Oryctolagus cuniculus: one gene and its partner. The protein of the gene in region 2 purifies or fractionates together with the protein of the main gene of each other region. This does not show direct contact. Links are inferred from orthologs where the notes say so. Each region holds a gene or a part of one and is shown on either strand. Other genes may lie near its edges. The genes, in order: FOXA1 and NKX2-1.

What was found.
Region 1: the proteins of NKX2-1 (region 2) and FOXA1 purify together in Homo sapiens (affinity purification with western blotting; 3 studies listed by BioGRID and IntAct, with this or other methods). This does not show direct contact. The link is inferred for Oryctolagus cuniculus from reciprocal best matches to the Homo sapiens genes NKX2-1 and FOXA1.

What each region holds. Positions count from the first base shown.
Region 1 is NC_091443.1:37,968,359-37,978,472, reverse strand, and holds the start of FOXA1 (hepatocyte nuclear factor 3-alpha), read right to left. Parts: upstream 5,002-10,114; 5' UTR 4,812-5,001; coding exon 4,740-4,811; intron 2,401-4,739; coding exon 1,066-2,400; 3' UTR 1-1,065. UniProt on the Homo sapiens protein: Transcription factor that is involved in embryonic development, establishment of tissue-specific gene expression and regulation of gene expression in differentiated tissues.
Region 2 is NC_091443.1:39,101,536-39,111,649, reverse strand, and holds NKX2-1 (homeobox protein Nkx-2.1), read right to left. Parts: upstream 4,861-10,114; 5' UTR 4,693-4,860; coding exon 4,616-4,692; intron 4,070-4,615; exon of another isoform or gene 3,986-4,069; intron 3,885-3,985; coding exon 3,499-3,884; intron 2,537-3,498; coding exon 1,791-2,536; 3' UTR 907-1,790; downstream 1-906. UniProt on the Homo sapiens protein: Transcription factor that binds and activates the promoter of thyroid specific genes such as thyroglobulin, thyroperoxidase, and thyrotropin receptor. Crucial in the maintenance of the thyroid differentiation phenotype.

The DNA of each region.
Region 1 (10,114 bases), about 1.1 Mb from region 2:
TTCGGAATCTTGGACCAAATTTTGGAATACAGCTCCCTACAACTTCTCTCTCCTCCAATATCATCATACTGCCCAAAAGTCTGGAGAAAAATATTCAACGGTATGCACAAAAGCTAGTTTTATACATTAAGTGACCTCAGAATGACATGACCATGGCACTCTGCAAAGCCAGGTGCAGAGTTCCTCAGGGGGGCAATTCCTATGTGGGCAGAAAGGACCAGGGCTGTGGGGTCCTTGTAACTTCTTGGTCAGGCAACTCTTGAAAACAGTAGCATGTGTATCACCAACTATTACATCTATAAGTTATGTAAATATATGGAGGATGTCTACAAATGTGAGCATGTGCATGATTAAGTCTGAACACAATGTATATGAATTTCATTTAAGAACACCTGCTATCTGAAGGGACCGGAAAGGTAAACTGAAAAAACCCAATGGCTCTGGTGTTTGCAGTCTGTTTACGTCTTGCTGTGAAACAGCAGCGAAGTCTTTCCATACTTTTAAGAGCCCCTAGTGTCTGCCTGTTTCTTCACTTCCATTCTTAGGGTTTAAGAGTATTGCCACAGACCTGTAAACTTGTGTGTGTGCATGTGTGTGCACGCATGTGTGTGTGTAAGCACAAATATTTTACAAACTTGACCACTTTTTTTTTAAATAAACCCTGCCCAGACTAGAATATGTCTGAAGAGGAAAGAGGACAGAAAGGAAGGAAAAAGGAAGGAGAGTCACACACACACACACACACACACACACACACTCTTGTGGATCATCCAACGTCCCAGGAAAAAAACTTGTTGGTTTGGGGATTGGTTGGTTTTGTCATAATGTACACAATGAGTTTTGAATACAATAATAAAGTAACAGTCCTTTGCACTGGGGGAAAGATTGTGCACGAGAAAAGAAATAAAATAGCTGTCAGGAATTTATGCTGTTGTCAGTTTGGTGTGTGTGAGTTTTTGTTTTGTTTTATTGTTGGCTTTTTTTTTTTTTGCTTTGTTTTGTTTTGTTTTGTTTCCTCTCCTGCTACCAGCGCGACTGTGGCAGACAAACCCCCAGTCCCGGGAGCTAGGAAGTGTTTAGGACGGGTCTGGAATACACACCTTGGTAATAGGCTGGCTCCAAGGCTGAGGGCTCGATGGGACTCCTGGTGGCCACCGATGCGCTGCCCAGGGGCAGGCTGGCGGGCAGCGCGGCGCCGTAGGGCGAGTACTGCAGTGCCTGCTCGTAGGCCTTGAAGTCCAGCTTATGCTGCTGCTCCGAGGAGGACATGAGGTTATTGATGGAGAAAGGGTGGTTGAAGGAGTAGTGGGGGTCCCCCTTCAGGTGCAGCTGGGACTCGTGAGGGGCCAGGCCATGGGCCGGGTGGGAGGGGGGCACAGACGCCAGCGCCCCGGGCCCAGAGCTTATCGGGGGAGCAGACGAGGAGGCCGGAGCCTTCAACTCGGAGGCGCCCCCTGTCGCCGCAGCCCCGCTGTGGTCCAGAGTCTGGGGGCTGGCGGCGGGCCCGGGGGCCGGCGCGCCCTCTAGCTGGCCGGCCTTCCCGTGCACCCCCCGGTGCAGGGGCGAGTCGGCTCCGGGGTGAGCGGCGCCCGAAGGGTCCTTGCGGCTCTCGGGGCCGCCCTTGGCACCGCCGCCGCCTCCCCCGCCGCCAGCCCCCGGCTGCTTCTCACACTTGAAGCGCTTCTGGCGGCGCAAGTAGCAGCCGTTCTCGAACATGTTGCCGGAGTCTGGGTGCAGCGTCCAATAGGAGCCCTTGCCCGGCTTGTCGGGGGAGCGCGCCACCTTGACGAAGCAGTCGTTGAAGGACAGCGAGTGGCGGATGGAGTTCTGCCAGCGCTGCTGGTTCTGCCGGTAATAGGGGAAGAGGTCCATGATCCACTGGTAGATCTCGCTCAGCGTGAGCATCTTGCTGGGCGCCTGCTGGATGGCCATGGTGATGAGCGAGATGTAGGAGTAGGGCGGCTTGGCGTGCGGGTAGCTGCGCTTGAACGTCTTGGCATCGCCGCCTCCGCCCGCACGGCTGCGGCCCAGGTTGGACGGTGCGTACGCCATGGGGCTCATGCACGGGTTCATGGCGGCCGCGTAGGGGCCCAGACCGTTCATGGAGGCTGCGGGCTGTGCGCCCATGGCGCCCATGCCACCCGGGCTCAGCGCCGTCCCCATTGCCGTCACGCCCGCTGCCGTCATGCTGTTCATGGCGCCCGCCGAGCCCGCAGGCATGCCGGCCACCGCGCCAGGACTCAGGCCGGCCCCCAGGCCCGGGTTGGCGTAGGACATGTTGAAGGAGGCCGGGGTCATGTTGCCGCTGGTGGTCATGGTGTTCATGGTCATGTAGGTGTTCATGGAGTTCATGGAGCCCAGGCCCGAGTTCATGTTGCTGACCGGGACGGAGGAGTAGGCCTGGAGCGGAGACAGCGAGCCAAGAGGCCCCGAAGGGCGGGGTTAGAGGTGGGCGCTGGACGCGGGGGGGGGGGGGGGTCGTCTGGCCGGCCAGGGGAGGGGGCCAGCCCGGGAGAGCACGCCTGCCAAGCACGCAACGACCCCCTCCCCACCCCACATCCCCATGCACGCACACACACCCGGGGCCAACTGCTGGGCGCTCTCCCCAGACGGAGCCAAGATGTCCTGCACCGCAGGGGGACCATCCCAGCGCGGCAGGCATGAAAGGCGAGCGCACACAGAAAATATGTCCCTGGGAAGATGTGTAATCGCCTTACGCGCCAGGCCTGGGGAGCCTTCCCCGCCTCCTCCATCCAGCGCCAGGCGGTAGCCCAAGTCAATACCCCGGACCAGCCTCGGCAAAGCGCCCTTTGGGGGCAAAGCGTCTGTAGAACTCGGACAGCAGAATACTCTGCTTTTTCACTTGCCCCCTAGGGCGCCCTGCGTGCGCGGCGCGGGCCGCAGAAGCCAGCCCCTGCGCCCACCTCGCTCCGGCCTGGCCCTTACCGCCGCGCCGCAGGCTCGGGGGTGCCAGGCGGCTGTTAACGAAGTCCCTGCCGGAGCAGAGCCGGCAGCCGTCGGAGGCCCTGACCCACTAATTTCCCAGCAACTTGATGGCCTTGATGATCTTAGGAGGGTTTTTAAAAATTTTTTATTTTTTGACAAATGATGACTTTTTGAGAGTATAGCAGCAGAGTGCTCCGCCTTCTTGTAGCTACTGTAATATTAAAGAGGACGCAGACACAGAAGTCAGTTTTGGGAGATAAAAGTAACAACAGATCTTCAATAGAAGGGGGAAAGCGCTGCCTGACACAACTCTCCGCGTGCATTTTAACTTTGTCACAACTACCGGTTCGCACCTCTGCAGGCCGTTCAAAAACTTGCATGGGTTTTGCTAGGATTTCCAGTCCCGCAGGGTTTGACAATTTCGGAGGCACAATTTATTGAAATAATCACACACACCCCCACCCCTAAATATTGATCTATTGCCGCTGATCATTTTTAAAGCCCGGCGGTTGACACTACAGGAGTAGTTTCAAATATTTTTAAATCTGTAGATCAAATTCGACTTATTTTCTCCTCAGGCTATATTCTAGTTCCCAATTCTCAGTTTTAAAGGAACAGAAGGTTCTTTAGAGGTCGTAACTGTGGTGGGTCGAGATGTCTGCATCATCGTTAAACCTAAGAGTTCTGAGGGTTTCTAAAAACCATCAGCTGGTTAAAACCCATCCACAGCCATTTGGGAAAACGCAGAGCCCAGCGATGCTAAAAACTGTCTGATAATTTAACAAAGAGTAATGATTCCTCGCAAGGATTTTCATCAGCAACTGTGACTTAAAGAGAAATCCTAAGTGGTGAACAATTCGATTTAAGTAGCAACATCCCTTAAGGTAAGGCGTGCAAATGCACTCAGGTAAATCTGGGAGTCCAGAAACACACACAAACCAATTGCCTTGAGAATATTTCCTGATTTCGAGCTTTTTTTCTGTCCACGTCTTAAGATATTTTCTACTTTGGCGTTTATTTTCTTTTCGTCTTCTCAGGATTATCCAAGACAATTCCAGCAAGTCTTTTCAATGATGCTAATCAAACTTTGAGGGGGGGGGGGTATCGCCAGCTGTTCGTAGAAAAATACTTTTAGTAGGTGGCAGTCCTGCCTGTACCTGGTGGCTTCGCAGTCCTTTTGTGAGCACTGTAAAATAAACCCCACGAACGTGCCACCAAGGGGACAATGAAGAGAAACAGGTTCTTGGCCCCGAGTTCTGGAAAAAGATTCGGCTCGCACCAGCGCCACCCAGCGGTTCTGGAGACGAAGGAGCACGCTTCTCCCCGAACAGGGCTTTTGAAGAACAAGTTTTGTAAAATTGAGGAATCGTTTTCACTCTCTAGACGCCCAAACGAGCGGCAGGGCGTTCTCACCAGAAGATGCCCGATTGTTACACGGCGGGACGGCTCTGGGTTTCGAAGCTGCTTTCAGCCCGCGCCGGCGCCCGCCCGCCCGCCGTGGCCCCCCGGCCGGGCTCGGCTCCCGCTCTCCGCGGGCAAGCGCCAAGTACTTCCCGGAGCGCTGCTTTTCAAGCCTGGAGTTCCCTAAAACTCTTCTCGCCCGCTGCGAGCGCCCGGGTCCCGAGCGCCCGCGGGGCCGTCCCCCACCATCCGGCCGGCCGCAGAATGCACCCGGGGCACCGAGGCGACGCCCCCTGCCCGCCCGCCGCCGCCCGCCCTGCCCGGCGCCCACTTGGCCCCAGCCTCCCCCGACTGGGGCACTGGGAGCGCCGCGCCGCCCGCCCGCTTCTCACCTCCTGCGTGTCCGCGTAGTAGCTGTTCCAGTCGCTGCTCTCATGCCCTTCCATCTTCACAGCCCCTAACATCCTGGAGCCACCCTGCCCGATGCGACCATGCAGCCCTGTGCGAGGCGACGGGCGGCCGCGCGGCGCGGCGCGGCGCGGGGGAGGGGAGCCGAGCAGCTGCAGTCACCCGAGCGCCCGCGCGGGCCCAACGCCACCCCTGGGCGGAGGGAGCCCGGCGCTGCGGGGCGCGGCGTGCGCGGCGGCGGCGGCGGCGGCGGCGCGGCGGGCGGGGGCAGCGCCGGGGGCAGGCGGCTGCCGCGGAGCGCGGCGCCGGGGAGCGCCTCGGCGGGAACTGAGCGGGCGGCCTCTGCGAGGCGAGTGCAGTTGAACTGATGTGGATCTTACGTCGCCCGAGTGCCCACCTCCTCGTCCTCTCCCCATTTGTCCGCTGCACAAAGACGCTCGCACCTACAAAGCCCGAGGTGCACCTGCGAGGCGGCCGCCCGCCAGTCCGGCCGCCGCGCCTCCCGCCCCGCCGCGCCGCCGCCGCCGCCGCCGCCGCCGCCGAGCGGCGCCCCTCCCGCCGGGCCCCCTCCCCCCAAACCCGGCCCTCACTTTGTTTGCAAAGCAGTGTAATTGGTTTAAGCCCGGAGGCCGGGAAAAGAGGGGGAACGGGGTTGCGTTGGGGTGTAGCCCCCCCTTTGGGGGGAAAAACAGGAAAAAAAAGAAAGAAAAATAGGCGGGGCCGGGCAGGCAGGCGAGGACTCGGGATGGGAACCGCGTAGCCGGAGAAGGGCCGGAGCTTAGGGACTGTGCGGGCCGAATGACCCCTGGGCCCCTCCCCGGAGGCGCTCAGCACGCCCGAGACCTGGGCTGAGGCCCCGTACGGTCTTCTGCCTGTCCCTGTCCCCCCCACGCCCACCCCGCCCACCTTTCCTGATTCCTGACCCCAAAGTGCAGTCCCGGGAGACTGAAGGATGCAGACTTTTTATTTTTCCTTTCCCTCCTGGGCTAGGAAAGGGGAAGAGCCCCGATTTGGCCTCGTCGCTGACTCAGCCGAGCCGGTGACGTCGGGCCGGCCCGGGCTCCCGGCTAGCAGAGCGGAGGCGCTGCCACGAAACTCGTACCTGCGGCTAAGAGCAGGTGAGTCACAGCACCGTTTTATATCTTTATGACATAACTTTTTTTTTTTTTCCGCCTCGATCCACTCCACTCCCCTCGTCATCTGTTAGCGATCGTGAAGAGGAAGAAACTGAGAGCAGATGTCTGTGTGATAGGGCAGGCGGACCCACGTCGGGCCGTCCTCCCGCTGCCCGGCTCCTCCTCCCGCCCCCCTTCAGTAGCTCAGAGGACCGAGCCGGAGGCGACCGTCTGGTTTCTGATAGGGAAAGGTCAGGGGGAGGGGACGTCTCTCTCAACACGCGCCTCGGCTGGACTCGCAGGGGCCGGCGCTGGAACGCGTCTGCCCAGCTCGCCCAGCGCCAAGCCCGGGCCAGAGGCGGCTGGCAGCAGGGCGCTCTCGGCTCTGTGACCTGGAGGGGCCGACCTAGAACCCCAGGGCCTGAGCCGGCTCCTAGACATGGGTGGGAAAGTCTCCTTTTGGGTAGTGGAGTGCCCGCGTGTCCTGGGGAAGGAGACTGGGTGACAGGCGCTGAGCTGGTGGCAGGTGCTGTGTCTCCGCGTGTGTTTTTCTAAGTATGTGTGTGTGTGCGTGAGAGAGACCAAGCAGGTGTTGTACTGCCTGTACATCCATGGGTTCCATTAAGTGGCAATAAAATAAAAGTCTAAAGTGAGAGCCCGCAAACTATTCTTGTTTTGCCAAGTTTTAAAAATGCCATTAATCTCATTTTAAGAAATGTGTTTTTACTTGTCTTCCAAACAGATTGCTTATTCCCCCCACCCCGTGCTTTGTTCTTTTAAACCTTTCTTCCTTGAAATCTGGCAAGAGAATCGCGTTAAATCCTTGAACCAAACAAATCTCTTAAATCAGCAGGGGAGCAGAGAGGGTGAAGATGTGCAGTTAAGGAAATAAAAAAGATAAAAGCATTGGATTACAATTCCTTTAAAAAAAAAAAAAGTGCATGGGAGGGAGGACACGTCACATTGTCAGGAAAGGCATGAGTGAAATTAAATCCACCTGGAACTCGGCAGCGCAGGCTCCCTCCCCAGAGCCGGCTCCCGTCACTGCCAGGCGGTCCTATCACTTGGTGTAAATGTATCTGTGAATATGTCTCAGCAACTCCTTCTTTTGTTCAAAGTTCCCGTCAGCAGCAGGACCTCAGTTCCATTTGCAAAGTACACGGGTGTGGGGGACTTTCAGGGCTAATGAGCTTCCTTGTTCCTGCCCCCGGTGATTCTCCAACTTGGCGCTTCTGCAGTGTTGAGCACGACTGGCGGCTTTTCTAAGGGCAGTAACAGCTTGGCCGCAGCTGCTAGTTTCCAAACCTACTGGCCTCTCTTTTTTTCTTAAAGTCAAATATATATATATAGAAAGTCCTAGTCACTTATATAGAAAGTCGTGTATATGCGCATATATATATCCCAGTCGGTCGTAGAGCAATGGCCAAAGTGAGGTTTCTCCCAGGCTTCTTCAAAGGCCAAGACTGGGGGTGCACAATGGTCTGGACAAGTCAGCCCTACAGCCTTGGTCCAGGTCTCGGGTTCCCGGGTCGGCAGCCCCGGGAATCCGCGCGAACACAGCGCCTCCTGTCGCAGACTAGGAAGGCTGAGTGCCTGGCAGGTGCCCCCAGCCGGCACCGCCGGGGGAGAGGGGCTTGGAATCCCGCGCGCATCCTGCCAGAGGCCACCAAGGCGAGCTGGCATGTGGCATCTCAGGGGCAGCATCGCACAACACCCGACAACTTCAGGAGCTGAAGTCGTAGTGTGCCCAGGTGCAAGCCGGCCAGTCTCTTCGAGGTTGAGGGGTGAATCAGCGTGGCGGAGCCGCCCTTTGACTTGGAACACAGAGGTTCACGCAGCCATAAACTTAGGAGGCTACTGGCCAGCGGGCAGCCAGGTAACCTGCGTGGCCGCCTAAGCCAGCTCCTTCCTGACCTCTTTCCCCAAACAGGCCCTCACACCACTGCAGCATTGTGCTTTGCAAACGTGCGGGCAATAGGGTGCACGAGACCTTTTTTCAGCTCTGGGCCGCCTGGGTGGCCCCGGCGCAGGGGACGAACGAGAGCAGCCACGTGGCGGCTCCCAGGGCGTCCCGTGCCACATCGCCTGGGTGCCTATGGGGCTGGGGCAGCCTGCGTCCGCCCAGACAGCGCTGAGGGCGGGCTCCTGTAGTGCAGGAAGCCCCGGCGGTGAGGACCGCGCGCGGGGCGCGGGAACTCGGGGCTGCCGAGGGCAGAGGAAGCGGCTCCGCCCTTCCCGGAAGCGGCGACTGCAACTCCCCTGGGGCCTGCTCCGGTGCAGTCGGCCCCGCACGAGGGGCGGCACGAGGTCCCCTGACCCAGCTCGGCTGCTGCAGCTTAGCCTTCCCAGCGTGAGGCCCCGGGGCAGCCCCTGGCGGCCGCACACCCTCAGCTGGAGCGCGCAAAGCAGAGGGTGCGGACGGCGAAAGGAGCAGGGAGAGGCCTGTCGTTCCGAGGGGTGCAGGGTGGGCAGAAGGCAGGGTCTGCGCCCCTCCCCCCGTCGGGGCTGTGGTCAGGTCACGGCCGCCGCAGGTCCAGCCACTCTCTGTGCGGGGTGGTCCGAGCCCCTCCGCGGGCCTCCACCCCCCACCCAGATAAGAAGCTTATGTCCTCCTCCCGCCGAGGAGAATCAGACGCAAGGAAACTAAGACCTGTGGTCTTTAACCCAGTTCAAAGCCGACCCCGACTGGGACCTGGCTCGGCTTTGGAGCGGGGAAGGCCTGGGATGTTGGAAGCGACTAGCGTACGTTGTAAAGCAGAGGTGTGCGCTGGGTTGGGGACGGGGCCCGGGCAGCGGGCGAGGGCGGCCTCCGGAGTCTGCCTCCTGCATCCCACCCTCACCCGCACGAGGCGCCTTGGCCCGTGTCCGCGGGGCCATCACCGCCCGGACCTGTGGCGCGCAGCGGGCAGCACTGGGCCCACTCCCAGCCTCCTGTTCCTTCGCTGCCTCTCTTTCCTTTCCTCGCTCACACTGCCTTTCCTTCCTCCCCTCCCATCGTTAAGTCATTAAGGAATTCACAACACACGAGGCGTCCGACTCCCAGTGGGTAAGGGCCCTGGGACCACAGACGGGCCTTGGCTGGCTGTGTTTGCTTGGAGTCCGCTTCTACTGCGGCGTCCTGCGTGTGCGTGCGTGCGTGTGTGTGTGTGTGTCTGAGTGTAGGAGTGGGTGACCAACACTTAACACTTATCCACCACTTCGCCTGTTCTGTTGAAAGAAAAACAGCCACTGGGTTTGTCCCTTCCCTGACTGCTCCCAGAGCCTCCACCGGGTTTCTGCACGGGCCGGTGCGCTGGCCAGGCTCGCCCGCAGCCGGATGCCGGAGCCGGAGCTGCTCCCCACCCCGCCTCGCCCGAGGGAGACAAAACCGTCTGGCCGCGAGCGAGCATCGTCTTGCCAAAAACGACTCACATTTTCATGTATTCAAATGAGAAAGGTTGAGAAGGGCGACTTGACCTCCTGGGCAATCCTCTGCACTGGGAGGAAAAAGTGTCCCACCAGTCCGCGCGTAGAACAGGAACCTGCCTTTCTCGGGGGCTTTGGCGCGGGGCACGGCCGGCTAGTCCAGGCCCGGGTCCCCGCGGCTGTCGCGCCTCTCGCGGCTTCTGTGCCCCCGAGTTACCCCGACTGCCTCATTTACATCCGTCAGTTCCCGCTGGGGGAAGTGCTTAGGTCCAGCCAGTCCCTTCCTGCTTAGCTGCTGGGGGTCAGGGTCTTCGCCGCGTGGTGCCCACACTACCTGTGCCTTTCTGCGTGTGTTTTAAAAAACACCAGTGTTAGGGGACTGGGGAGGAATTGGAAACCCATGCTTCACCATGAAGGTGGGGCATTAGAGAGAAGTGACGCCTCTTCAGTCTGAGTTAGTGCAGAAAGAACCAGAGCAGCTGAGGTCCTACTGTGTGTCAGGGACTGGGCCCAGGGCCTTTGATATCCCAGCGCTTTTCCACCTGCTGCTCCAGTGTGCGGGAGCTGGGAGGTCGGAAGGTTGGGTGCAGGTGGGTGAGTACCTCGGTTCCTCCCCAGGGGCAGAAGCTCGCACTAATGGGCAACGGACGATGGAAAAGTCAACGAATTTCATCTCTTGCCTCGAGGCCTGCAGCTTAGTACTAAATCCTTCCTGATGGGTGGACTATGTTTAGTTTCTGCAACCCCAACCACCACACTTTCCAATCCACATTCTTCCCTCCCCCAACACACACCCCCAGGAGCTTTCCCACAGCCCCTCAGTTCTCCTTCGTGGTTTA
Region 2 (10,114 bases):
GTTCCTCAGGGATGACAGAGGGGGCAGCAGCCCATCCACAGACGAAGTGTTTTCTCTGGCCACAGTCATCTCTGACACCCATGCCTCTATCACATCCCTAGTGGTCCTACACACATCCATCTGAGTGCGAACAGACAAGGCAATTAGATTGGAAGAAAGGAGTCAAAATGATCTTTTGGCTGGGGTTGGGGGGACAAGAAGGTGAGAGTTGGAAAAAGGGCAGCTTCATTGCTGGGAAGATTTCGGAGCCCAGAGATGGACACCCACGCAACTGAGTGAAACCTCAGTTCTCCAAGTCCTGCACTGGTGTCCTCCTGCTGGTTACCTGGTCCCTTGCTTGCCGGGGGCCAGAGCAGCCACTAGAAGCAAGGCTGGGGGTGGGGTGGGGTGTGTGGCTACTGCTGACCCCTGAGCTGGGATCCCTGCTTTCAAGCAGAAATAAAACCCTGGATCCCCCGTCACCACTTTCAAAAGAAGCCTCCCACCGAATTCGGCCTCTGGAGGGGCTCTGTCGTAGACTGGAAAGAAAGGCTTGATGTTCCAATCTGCAAGGGCAGTGCCTTTCCTAAGAATGAAGGTTCATCCTGAGTTACTGAAAGCGGGTGTCAGGGCTGGCTGAAGATCAGAGGGGACAGTTCCGAGGTCTCTAAGCATCGGAAGCCAGGTTCTGAAAACAAGCCCTCTGGTCTCTCTTCCCCGCTCATCTCCCTCCTGGTGGAAGCAGTTGGGAGTCCCAGGACTGCTCAAGATTAGATTACACTCAATTCCGAGGCAGAACAAAACTCCCTCTTCTCACGGGCCACAGGGCTGTGCGTCCGGCCTCCACAGCAGGTTCAGGCTAACGATGTGCCCTTCCCAGCCCCACAACAGCCATTGAAAGCCAAATCAAAACCAAACAAAAAGGAGGATTTTTAATCAGAAAAAGAATCTTTTTAATTTGTATAATTTATTAGAAGCTTCTTAGGAACTATATTTTAAGCCAAATATCTACATAAGTTACAACAGAAAAAGACCGACGCCGCAAATACCAAACTGCCAAATAATATCCACAGATTTGTCAATGTCCATAAAAAATGGGAGGGGCTGGGGACCCGGACTGGGTTTCTTTCTTTCTTTCTTTTTACAACAAAATGTACAGATTACTAAAAACTAGGCATTTAGTCCAACTTTTGACAGCATTTTACAGCTACAAGTTCACATCAAACATAAAACAGTTTTCGCTTGCAGAGGCGGTCCTGGCTGAACCTAGACCAGCCAGGGCGTTGGGGGAGGTGGCACTTCCTTTGTGTCTTTGACAAGTGGGTTATGTCCAAGAGTCTTTCCTCTCCCCACTCCCGTCCTCCCTTCGGAAAAAGAATCCTGGTATTTACAAGCGAGTCCACATGGCTGGCAGAGTGTACCCAGAGTGAAGTTTTCCTTCCTTATAGAGTCCAGGGCCATGTCAACCTAGAGTCCTCTCCAATCTGCATCCCTCCCCAGCGTGGGAAACCCATTGGCATCACCGTAAAGACCCCAACCCACCCCAAGCTGTTCAGACTCCTTAAGGAATTGGATTTGCTTGGTTGTTTTTATTTTCTTTAAAAAAAAAAAAAACTCACAAATTAAAAAAAAAAAAAACAGACGTCCAGCAGTTTGGCCTTTGTGGTCTCCTCCCCCGCTCCTTGGTCTAAACGGGGATAGGTTCTTAAGAAAAGTCGAAGCGCGTGGAGCAGCGAGAGAACGGTGGTCCGTGTGGCGGGCGAGGGAAGCGGTGAGGCGGCGCGCTGGGCTGGGGCCGGCCCGGCGAACTTTCACCAGGTCCGACCGTATAGCAAGGTGGAGCAGGACATGGTGCTGTAGTCCGAACCCGAGGAGTTCAGGTGGGAAAGGCTGGAGACCTGGCCCTGCAGTGCCGCGGGACTGGCGGCGTGGTGCGCCAGGTCCGGAGACTGGCCCGCGCTGCCGGGCTGGTGGCCCGGGTGTGCGCCCAAGCCGGCGCCCCCGCTGCCCACCGAAATCGCCGCGGCTGCCGCTTGCGCGGCCTGCGCCTGCTGCTGCGCCTGCTGCTGCGCGTGGCCTTGGAGGCTGGCGGCGCCCGGCGCGGGGGCGCCTGCCTGGCACGGTTTGCCGTCTTTCACCAGGACCGGCACTGCCACACGGCGCGGCGACTGTTGCTGAGCCTGCTGCTGCTGCTGGGGACACGCGGCGCCGCCTCCGCCGCCGCCGCCGCCGCTGTCCTGCTGTAGTTGCTGCTGCGCCGCCTTGTCCTTGGCCTGGCGCTTCATCTTGTAGCGGTGATTCTGGAACCAGATCTTGACCTGCGTGGGCGTCAGGTGGATCATGCTGGCAAGGTGCTCGCGCTCCGGCGCCGACAGGTACTTCTGCTGCTTGAAGCGTCGCTCCAGCTCGTACACCTGTGCCTGGGAGAAGAGCACCCGGCGCTTCCGGCGCGGCGCGCTTGGCAGCGGGGCCATGTTCTTGCTCACGTCCCCCAGCGAGCCCAGGCCTCCCATGCCGCTCATGTTCATGCCGCTCGCCGGGCCCATGAAGCGGGAGACTGTAAGCGACAAACGCACAGCGTCGGCCGGGGCCGGGGCCGGGGCCGGGGCCCGGGCCGGGCCGGGCCAGGCCACCACCGCCTTCAGCGCGCCTTGGCTTGCCCGGCCCGCCCCCGACGGCTTTCTCTTCATCCAGGCCGCCCGGCGCCCGGCCCAAGAGGCCCATCCACGGGGACTCGTAGGCACCTGCCCAGGGCCGAGCCGTCGAAGAGCTTCCTGGCGAGCTCCTGGCTACCCTCTCAGTCTGAGTACGCTCTTTGGACCCAAAAAAGGTGCAGCGAGGGGAGAGGCCGCTCCTGCTTCCCTCGCGCCCAGTGCCAGTCCGAGGCACCGGACAGGGTTCGCCGGCCGCAGGCGGTGACCTGAGCTCCGGTCGGGAGCTGGGGTCTGACCATAGACTTTGGGCGGTTAGAAGAGGGGTATTCACTTCGTAAAGCTCGAGTTCCCAGACGCTTTGCCTCTTGGCTTTCTCTAGGAGGCCCCAAAGAGTGCACTTGCTCGGCCCATTTAGGGCCCCCTCCGGAGCCGGTCACCCTCCCACCTGCCCAGACCCCGACGGGCCGGGCTCCTGAGTGCGTCCCAGCGGGACGGCCTCCCTTCCCAGCCAGGCCTAGCCCCTCGGCGCTCTGCTCGCTCCCGCTCTCTCGGCTTGGAGGTCGCCTCCCTGGGCTCTCCCAGGGCTTCCGCGAGGGGCAGAGCTAAGCCGGTTGGCCAAGAACCGGAGATGCCCGGGTGCCAGCACCTGTCCCCCCGAACCCCAGCGCTAACCAAGTGCCCTCTACCTGGACCCCAAGCCTAACAAGGGGAGGACCCCCACTCCCCCCCACCCCACCCCCAGCTCCCGCACCCAACTCCCTGGCGCCGCTGCCCGGCCGCACGCCCTGCTGGCCAGCGCCTAGCCGGCCGGTGCGGCGCCTCCTGTGCTTAGCCCGCGGCCCCGCACTGGGGCGGCCTCACTTACTGGCGGGGAAGCGCGGGTCTGGGTTGGCGCCGTACCATCCGGGGCCGGAGGCGCTGTTCCGCATGGTGTCCTGGTACGGCGGCAGCTCGCTCATGTTGCCCAGGTTGCCGTTGCAGTAGCCCCCCACGGCGGAATGCGAGAGCTGGGGCACCCCCGCCGCCGTCATGTGGTAGGCGGCGGTGACGGCGCCGTGGTGCCCCACGGCGTGCTGCTGCATGGCCGCGGCCGGCGGTGCCGCCTGGCCTTGCCTGTACGCCGCCAGCGGAGCCCCGAGGCCGCCGCCCTCCATGCCCACTTTCTTGTAGCTTTCCTCCAGGGGACTCAAGATGTCAGACACTGAGAACGGAGTCGTGTGCTTTGGACTCATCGACATGATTCGGCGGCGGCTGGAGGAGGAAGGAAGAGGAGGAAAAAAAAGGGAGAGGGGGAAGGCGAAGCCTCGCTACTTTTTTTTTTTTCCTCCCTTTGCCAAATATTCTGGTGTTACCTTAACGCCGATCTTGTTGGATGTACACGTAACGGAGTGGCCCGAGTCCGCCTTAATTGGCTTGAGTGGAGGCTCGGGGGCTGCCTCGCGTTTGTTTTAGCCCGGCGCCAGGTTTTAGGCAGCCACCAGAGGCGGGGCGTAAGCGCTAAAGCGACAAGACAATAGAAGCCTACATCTTGCCCGAGATAATTAGCTTACATGCTGATGACAAGGTAAACACCTTTAAGTTTCACTTGTCAGGATTTTTAGGTCTCAGGGAGAGAGAGGGGAGACAGAGAGAGAGAGAGAGAGAGGAGAGAGGAGAGAGAGGCTGAGACGAGACCCAAAGCGTTGCCTTCCCCCTCCCCTGGACACCCCCACCCCCATATTTTGTGGGGTGCCGGCGCCGCGCGGGGAGGAGGGGGTGGGGAAGGAGGAGGGAGCCGAGAGCAGGGAGGGCAGGGGGTGGGGTGGGGTGGGGTGGGGAGTAGTCGAGGAGGAGGGACGGCGGGGAGGAAGGAAGGTGACTGCTGCTTTGCAACCAACTCGCGGAGTTACAAAGTGGAACCGCTTTACGATTCGGTCGGGGTTCCCCGGGCGGGGACGGATCTCGGGGAGGAGGGGGCCGAGGGACGGGGTGCGGGGTTTCACCTGAGCCTGCCGGGGCTGCTCCTCCCTCCCGCCGCGGCCTCCCAGCCCCGCGCCTTCCCACTGCCTCGGGACCACATCGGGCTTCGCTGCGCCGAGCCCCGGTCGCCACCGAATGAGCGAGCGAGTCTGGGGACGAACCCTGGGGCCGCACTGTTGGTCTACGTGTCTGTCAGTCTGTCTGCCTCCTCTGCCGCCGTCAGAGGGACACCTCTGCTCCCCGCCCCCTTCCCCCCTACCCCCCTTGCCCGAGAGAATCGCGCCGGGCGGAGGGGGCGCTGAGTAGGGGATCGACTGCCTCCGGGAGGCTGTCCGGATCCCCGCGCCACCCCACCCCCAGCCCGGGGTCTTCTCGGCGGGCCAGCCCTCCCCGCCTCCCCCCACCAGGACCCCCTCCCCACCGCACCCCACACCCACCCCCCGCCGAGCAGGCGCGACGCTGGCCTCCGGCGCGGGGCCCACTGGGGTCCCTCACTGGGGTTGCCCCACCGCAAACAAACCTGGCGTCCCTGGCCCTTGCCCATAGCCCTGACACGCGGGGTTCTGGGGCCGGAGTAGGCTTGCCCAGGCCATCGCAGCCCCGGCACCACCGGAGCCCACGGCCACGCTGTTTCCCCCTCCTCTGCTTCTGGGAGGGCTCGGGCCGGGGATGGCGAGAGAGCCCGCCCGTCTATAGCTGGGGTGTAGCAGAGCCTGCCCCAAGGCGGGACCCGCGGGGCCGGGAGGGGGCCGGTACCCAGGCGCAGGCAGCCCCGCGGGCTGCAGGCTGGGCTGAGGCTCGCCTCCGCCCGGAGCTCAGCCATGCAAAAGTGCACTTGCTTCCCCGGGAATAACCAAATATCTTTGTTTAAAGTGGCGGCGTAAATGGCCAGTCGCTTTGTGACCACGCTGGATATTAGTAGATGAGGATCATTCTGCTTCAATTGGGCGCCTCTCATCCAGCGAGCAAGAAACTGCTTAGGAGGAAGTGGGTTTCCTGTCTGCGCGTTCCCAGGCTTCAAGTGTGAGCCCCGCGCCTTGAGGGTCCTTGGGCGCCTGGCGAGGGGGAGCTGTGGGCTGCACTCCCCGGCGGGCCCGTGGGCGGCAGCTGGGTTATTCCGGCCAGGCCGGAGCCTACAGCCGAGTGGACTACCGGACGGAGCCCTGCGTGCTGCAGATTGTGAGACCCATGCCGACTTGTCCCCCTTGGATTGCAACCGTTTTTGTTGTTTGTTTTTGTTTTGCTTTCCTTTGGCTGTCGGAGCCTCCTCCCCGCGCCGGGGGCTGAGGGGCGGAGCGCTCCTCGGCCCAGCAGGTGCCTCCAAGACCCTTCCGCGGTCGGTCAAGCAGGCTTCTCGAATTCGGTTTTTTTGTTTTGTTTTCACGGTTCTCCGCCAACCCCACCCCCACCTCCAACACACACACACTTTCCTGAACCGCTGATGAAGAACAGGCAGTTTTGAACCTTTTAATTCAGCAGGTCAGGCTCTTTTTTAAATTATTATTATTAAAAGCATTTACAGTAGGGAAAGTTTGCTTATCAGAGTGCTCTGTCCTTCCTCAATACGAAGCTAACTTCTATGTTAACATTCTCTTTCCTCACCTGCCACCTCCCTTAGGGGGAGACACAGAAAGTTCGGGAGTCCCTGGGTCGCCTGGGCCTGCACTGCCTGGAGGTCCCAGCGGCGGTGGCCTTGGAGCGGGAGACAGTGCACCTTGCGCGTGGGGACGCGCTTGTTGCTGCTGCTGCTGCTCCTTCGAAAACCAGGAGCGAAGCTTGGCTCCTGCCCTCCCCCCTTCCAGGGGCTTCCCTGGAGGGGGGGCGCCTTTAGGAAGGACTCAGACCCTATCCACCGCGCTTCGGTCTCTGTGGTGTCTTTTATAAGCCCTGGAAACAAGGAGGGGAGGAGACGCCAGCGGACGACAGAGAGCAGGCAAAACTGAGTTGCAGACCCGATCTGCAGGGGAGCCCTGGGCGGGTCTGTGGCCCCCGGAGGGGTCTTACTGCGAAGGCAGATTGGGTTTCCAAGCCTCTCTCTTTCCATTATTTCATGCTTGTTGGTAAATGTAAGACGCACCGACTGTGGGACGTCGTACATCTCTCCTAGTCTCAAGGCCGTTAGGAATGGAAAATCTTCTCAAGGAGTGTGTGTGTGTGTGTGTGTGTGTGTGTGTGTGTGAAAGAGATCAGGCACATCAAAGATGTGAAATCCGTTCAGGTAGCTGTCGTGACGTTTCCCCTCCCCCACTTTAGGGTTCAGGACTGGAGGGAAGGGCAGAGGTGGATGAACCCTCCACGGCCTCCCCGGAGTCGTGCCGCCTCGGGCGGGCTTTCGTTCCGCAGCAGGCTCTGAGCGCACGTGGCTAGCAGCTCGGACATTCCCGGGAGTGCGTGAACAACCCAGGCCGCAGCTTTCGACGAGACCGCAGGCCGGCACTTGGCACCACGGAGCAGGCGGCGAGTGGGGGCGCTGAGCGGGCGCCCGCGCTCCACGCGGGTGGGGCCCTACCTGCCACCGCTTCGACCTCTTGGCGCAACAGGGTCTGTGCTTGAGTCCCCGCGGGCAGGCGCGCACCAGCAACGGCTCTCTCTTGTCTGGACCTCGCCTGGGCCTTTGCGGCTCCCTGCGGCCCAGGCCCCGCGCCAGCCCCACCACTGTCCCTTCGAGTGCAGCCACCGCTCCGCGTTCTTCCCAGGCGCGCTGCCTTGCTAAGAATAAGCCCAACGCGAAGGCGCCTGGAGGCCACAAGGCACACGTGTGTATCTCCTGGTGTGTCCAAGCCACGGCCTCGGGGGCCTCACCTGTGGCCCCGACACCTGCCTCTGACCCAAGAGAGATTTTTCCTTCGGCTGCCTCGGTTCTCATCTTAAATAGGGCAGACTCCGCTTAAGCCAGGGCTTTATGCGTGGCTCAGTCCACGGGGAGCCCTGTCTTCCGCATCCCTCGGCTAACTGGCTCCAGGGTGGGGTGGGCACTGTGCGGAGCCAGCGGGCGGGACACAGCGCTGGCCCGCTGTGGAGCTGTCCCTGGTGCGGTCGCACACGGCCTCGGCCATCCCAACCACTGAGTTTCGCTGGCTGCGGCTCCGGGCCAGGACGCGCCCTGGGGGCGCCGAACTGTCATCAGCCTCCGCTCATACCCGCAGAAGAAGGGCAATGCTTCTCCTCCTGCCCTTCGCCCTGGGTCACTTGGGGAGAACAGAGGTCGCACACAGACGGCTGATTCGGGGTCTGTGATTCGACCGCGTGGCACGTGGGCGCAACACCTGTCCCGCTGTCCCTCGTGTCCCCGGCCTGCTTTTCCTGACGTCCTGCGTGGCCCCTCACACCTCCGCGGGCACTGACTCGGCTCCAGGCTTTACTGGAATTCTAGTTTCTTTGGGCAAATACTGATTGAGCAACGGCTCCGTGCCAGGCAAGGTGCTTGGCGGGCAGATCCAGCTATAGACCGTCTAGATGTGGCTCCACGCACACAGGACTCTCAAATGAATCACAAAAAGCACCCAGGTATGACGTCGTTACTGTATGACAGGTGTTACTGCGGAATTTCAACGAGATGGGTCGTAAAGAATGTCGGCACCATTTCCCGGTGCTCCCACGCTCCGGGGTTGTGGGAAGTACACATGAAGTCAGGGTGCGAGGCCTGGCTTTGCGGGTTTTCTGGTTGTGCAGCTTTGCTTTCCTGGCTCTCGCCACACCCTGCAACAAAACTAATGTGTTCAGGCTTCCCTCTTTGAGGGCGAGATTCCCCTTGATCTATCCCTGCGTGCCTGGAGAAATCTTAAGGAAGTCTCTTAGCACCTGTGCCTGGGGCTGCAGCAATGGTTGGAACCTACCCTGTGTACGTACCCTCCCGGATTTGTTGAGCTGGGGATTCGGGTAACGCAGGAGGAAACCTGATGTCCGAGTTTGTAAACTATGTCTGGCAAAGAGGAGTTCTTTACGCTCTGCTTTTTGGGGGTTATAGAAGCGGGGTGGGAGGGGGAGGCAGGGCAGGAATGGCCTTGGCAAGAGTCCCAGGGCGGAGGAGGAGTTGGAGGGAAAAGCTGCCCAGAGATGCAGGGCCCCAGTGTACCTAGTCTCAGCGGTCTCCTTGCTCAAATATTCTCTAGAGGCTGTGTCCACACTCCCGCCGTCAGGTGCAGGCTCCCGGGCTGGGCTAGCAGGCCTGCGAGCGCCCTCGAGGCCACCTACCCCGGGGCAGAAGGCAGGGACGCAGCCGGGCGTTGGGGGGCGCTGCTCCCCAACTCTGAGATCCAGCGGCTGCCGCCTCTCCTTGATGGGGTCTCACGGGGCCCTCTCCGGGCTGCTTTCCCAGGCGCCAGAACCGGAAGCTCCCAGGGAGTACCCGCGAGGTGTGCAGCCGCGCGGCGTTCGCAGGCGCCCTCTCTCCTCAGTGGGATCCTTGATGGTCCTTTTGGGGGATGCCTTTTTCCCAAGGCGTGGCCTCCGGGCAGTGGGGATGGGGTACGCGAAGCGGCCCCGGGACTTGGAGGCATGGTTCCTGCGCCTTCCTGTCGAGCGCTGGCGTGCTCTGGGGTCGGGATGGCGGTCAGGGGGCGTCCACGAAGGCCAGGCCCTCGGGGAGGACCACATCTGCCATCTCGAAACCTACCTATTTCCATGCCACGCAGCTCAAGCCCTCGAGTTGTATTTAGGGACCACACCCGCGCCACCAGCTCCAGGTGCGCCCCCTGGTGGGGAGAGACCTGAGGGGTAGGAGCTAAGGTGGAGAGCCATTCACAAAGCAGAGAGGAGAGGGATCGGCAGGAGGTGGCCAACGCGGACGGGAGGCCTCCCGCAGACTCAGCGGGGCCAGCGCCGCTGCGTCGGGCCCCAACAGGACGGAGAACTTGGGGCTCGGTTTTCCCCCTCGTTCTCCAGTACTGTTTAGGTTGACTGCCTGTAGGCGGCAAAAGTGTAGGCGGGAGCCTCTAGCCTAAGGGGCGGGGACACCGGCAGGGGCGCCGGGGCGCCCGCCGCCCTTCCACGGACCCAAAGGACTGGTTTCGGAAGGCTGCTTGTGCCCCAGGACCTGCGCAGGCTCATTCAGTGTAGACGACCGAAACCCGCAGCTCTCTGTGCCCTGCATCCCCCACCAAACCGCAGCCGCAACAGCTTGCGCCCTAGCGTTCTCTGTGCAGTCGCCAGCAGCGCTGGGATTCCCTCCTGCGCCCCTTCCCGCCTCTGCAACCTTCCACACTTGTCCTCTCCTTCACTCCTAGCAAGCTTCAGGTGGCCCCGGCTTCTACCCCAGGCCCGCTCCGAGGATCTCCGTGGCCCATCGGGTTTTCTGGGACCTGGCGGAGGCTGCAATCCCCCTGGCTCTGCGCGGCTCCACGTCTGGCAGTTGCAGACCGAGGCGCTCCGCAGCGCCCTCTTCCGGCCATCTGGAGACCTGTCTCATGTGTGCGGTCCCAGGGAAGCTTCGCTAGAGGTCCTGGCAAGAAGCTTCGTAGAGGTGAGACCCGCAGTGAGGGAGTGGATCGTCCGCCACGCACTCGCTCATCCGACCTGTTCAC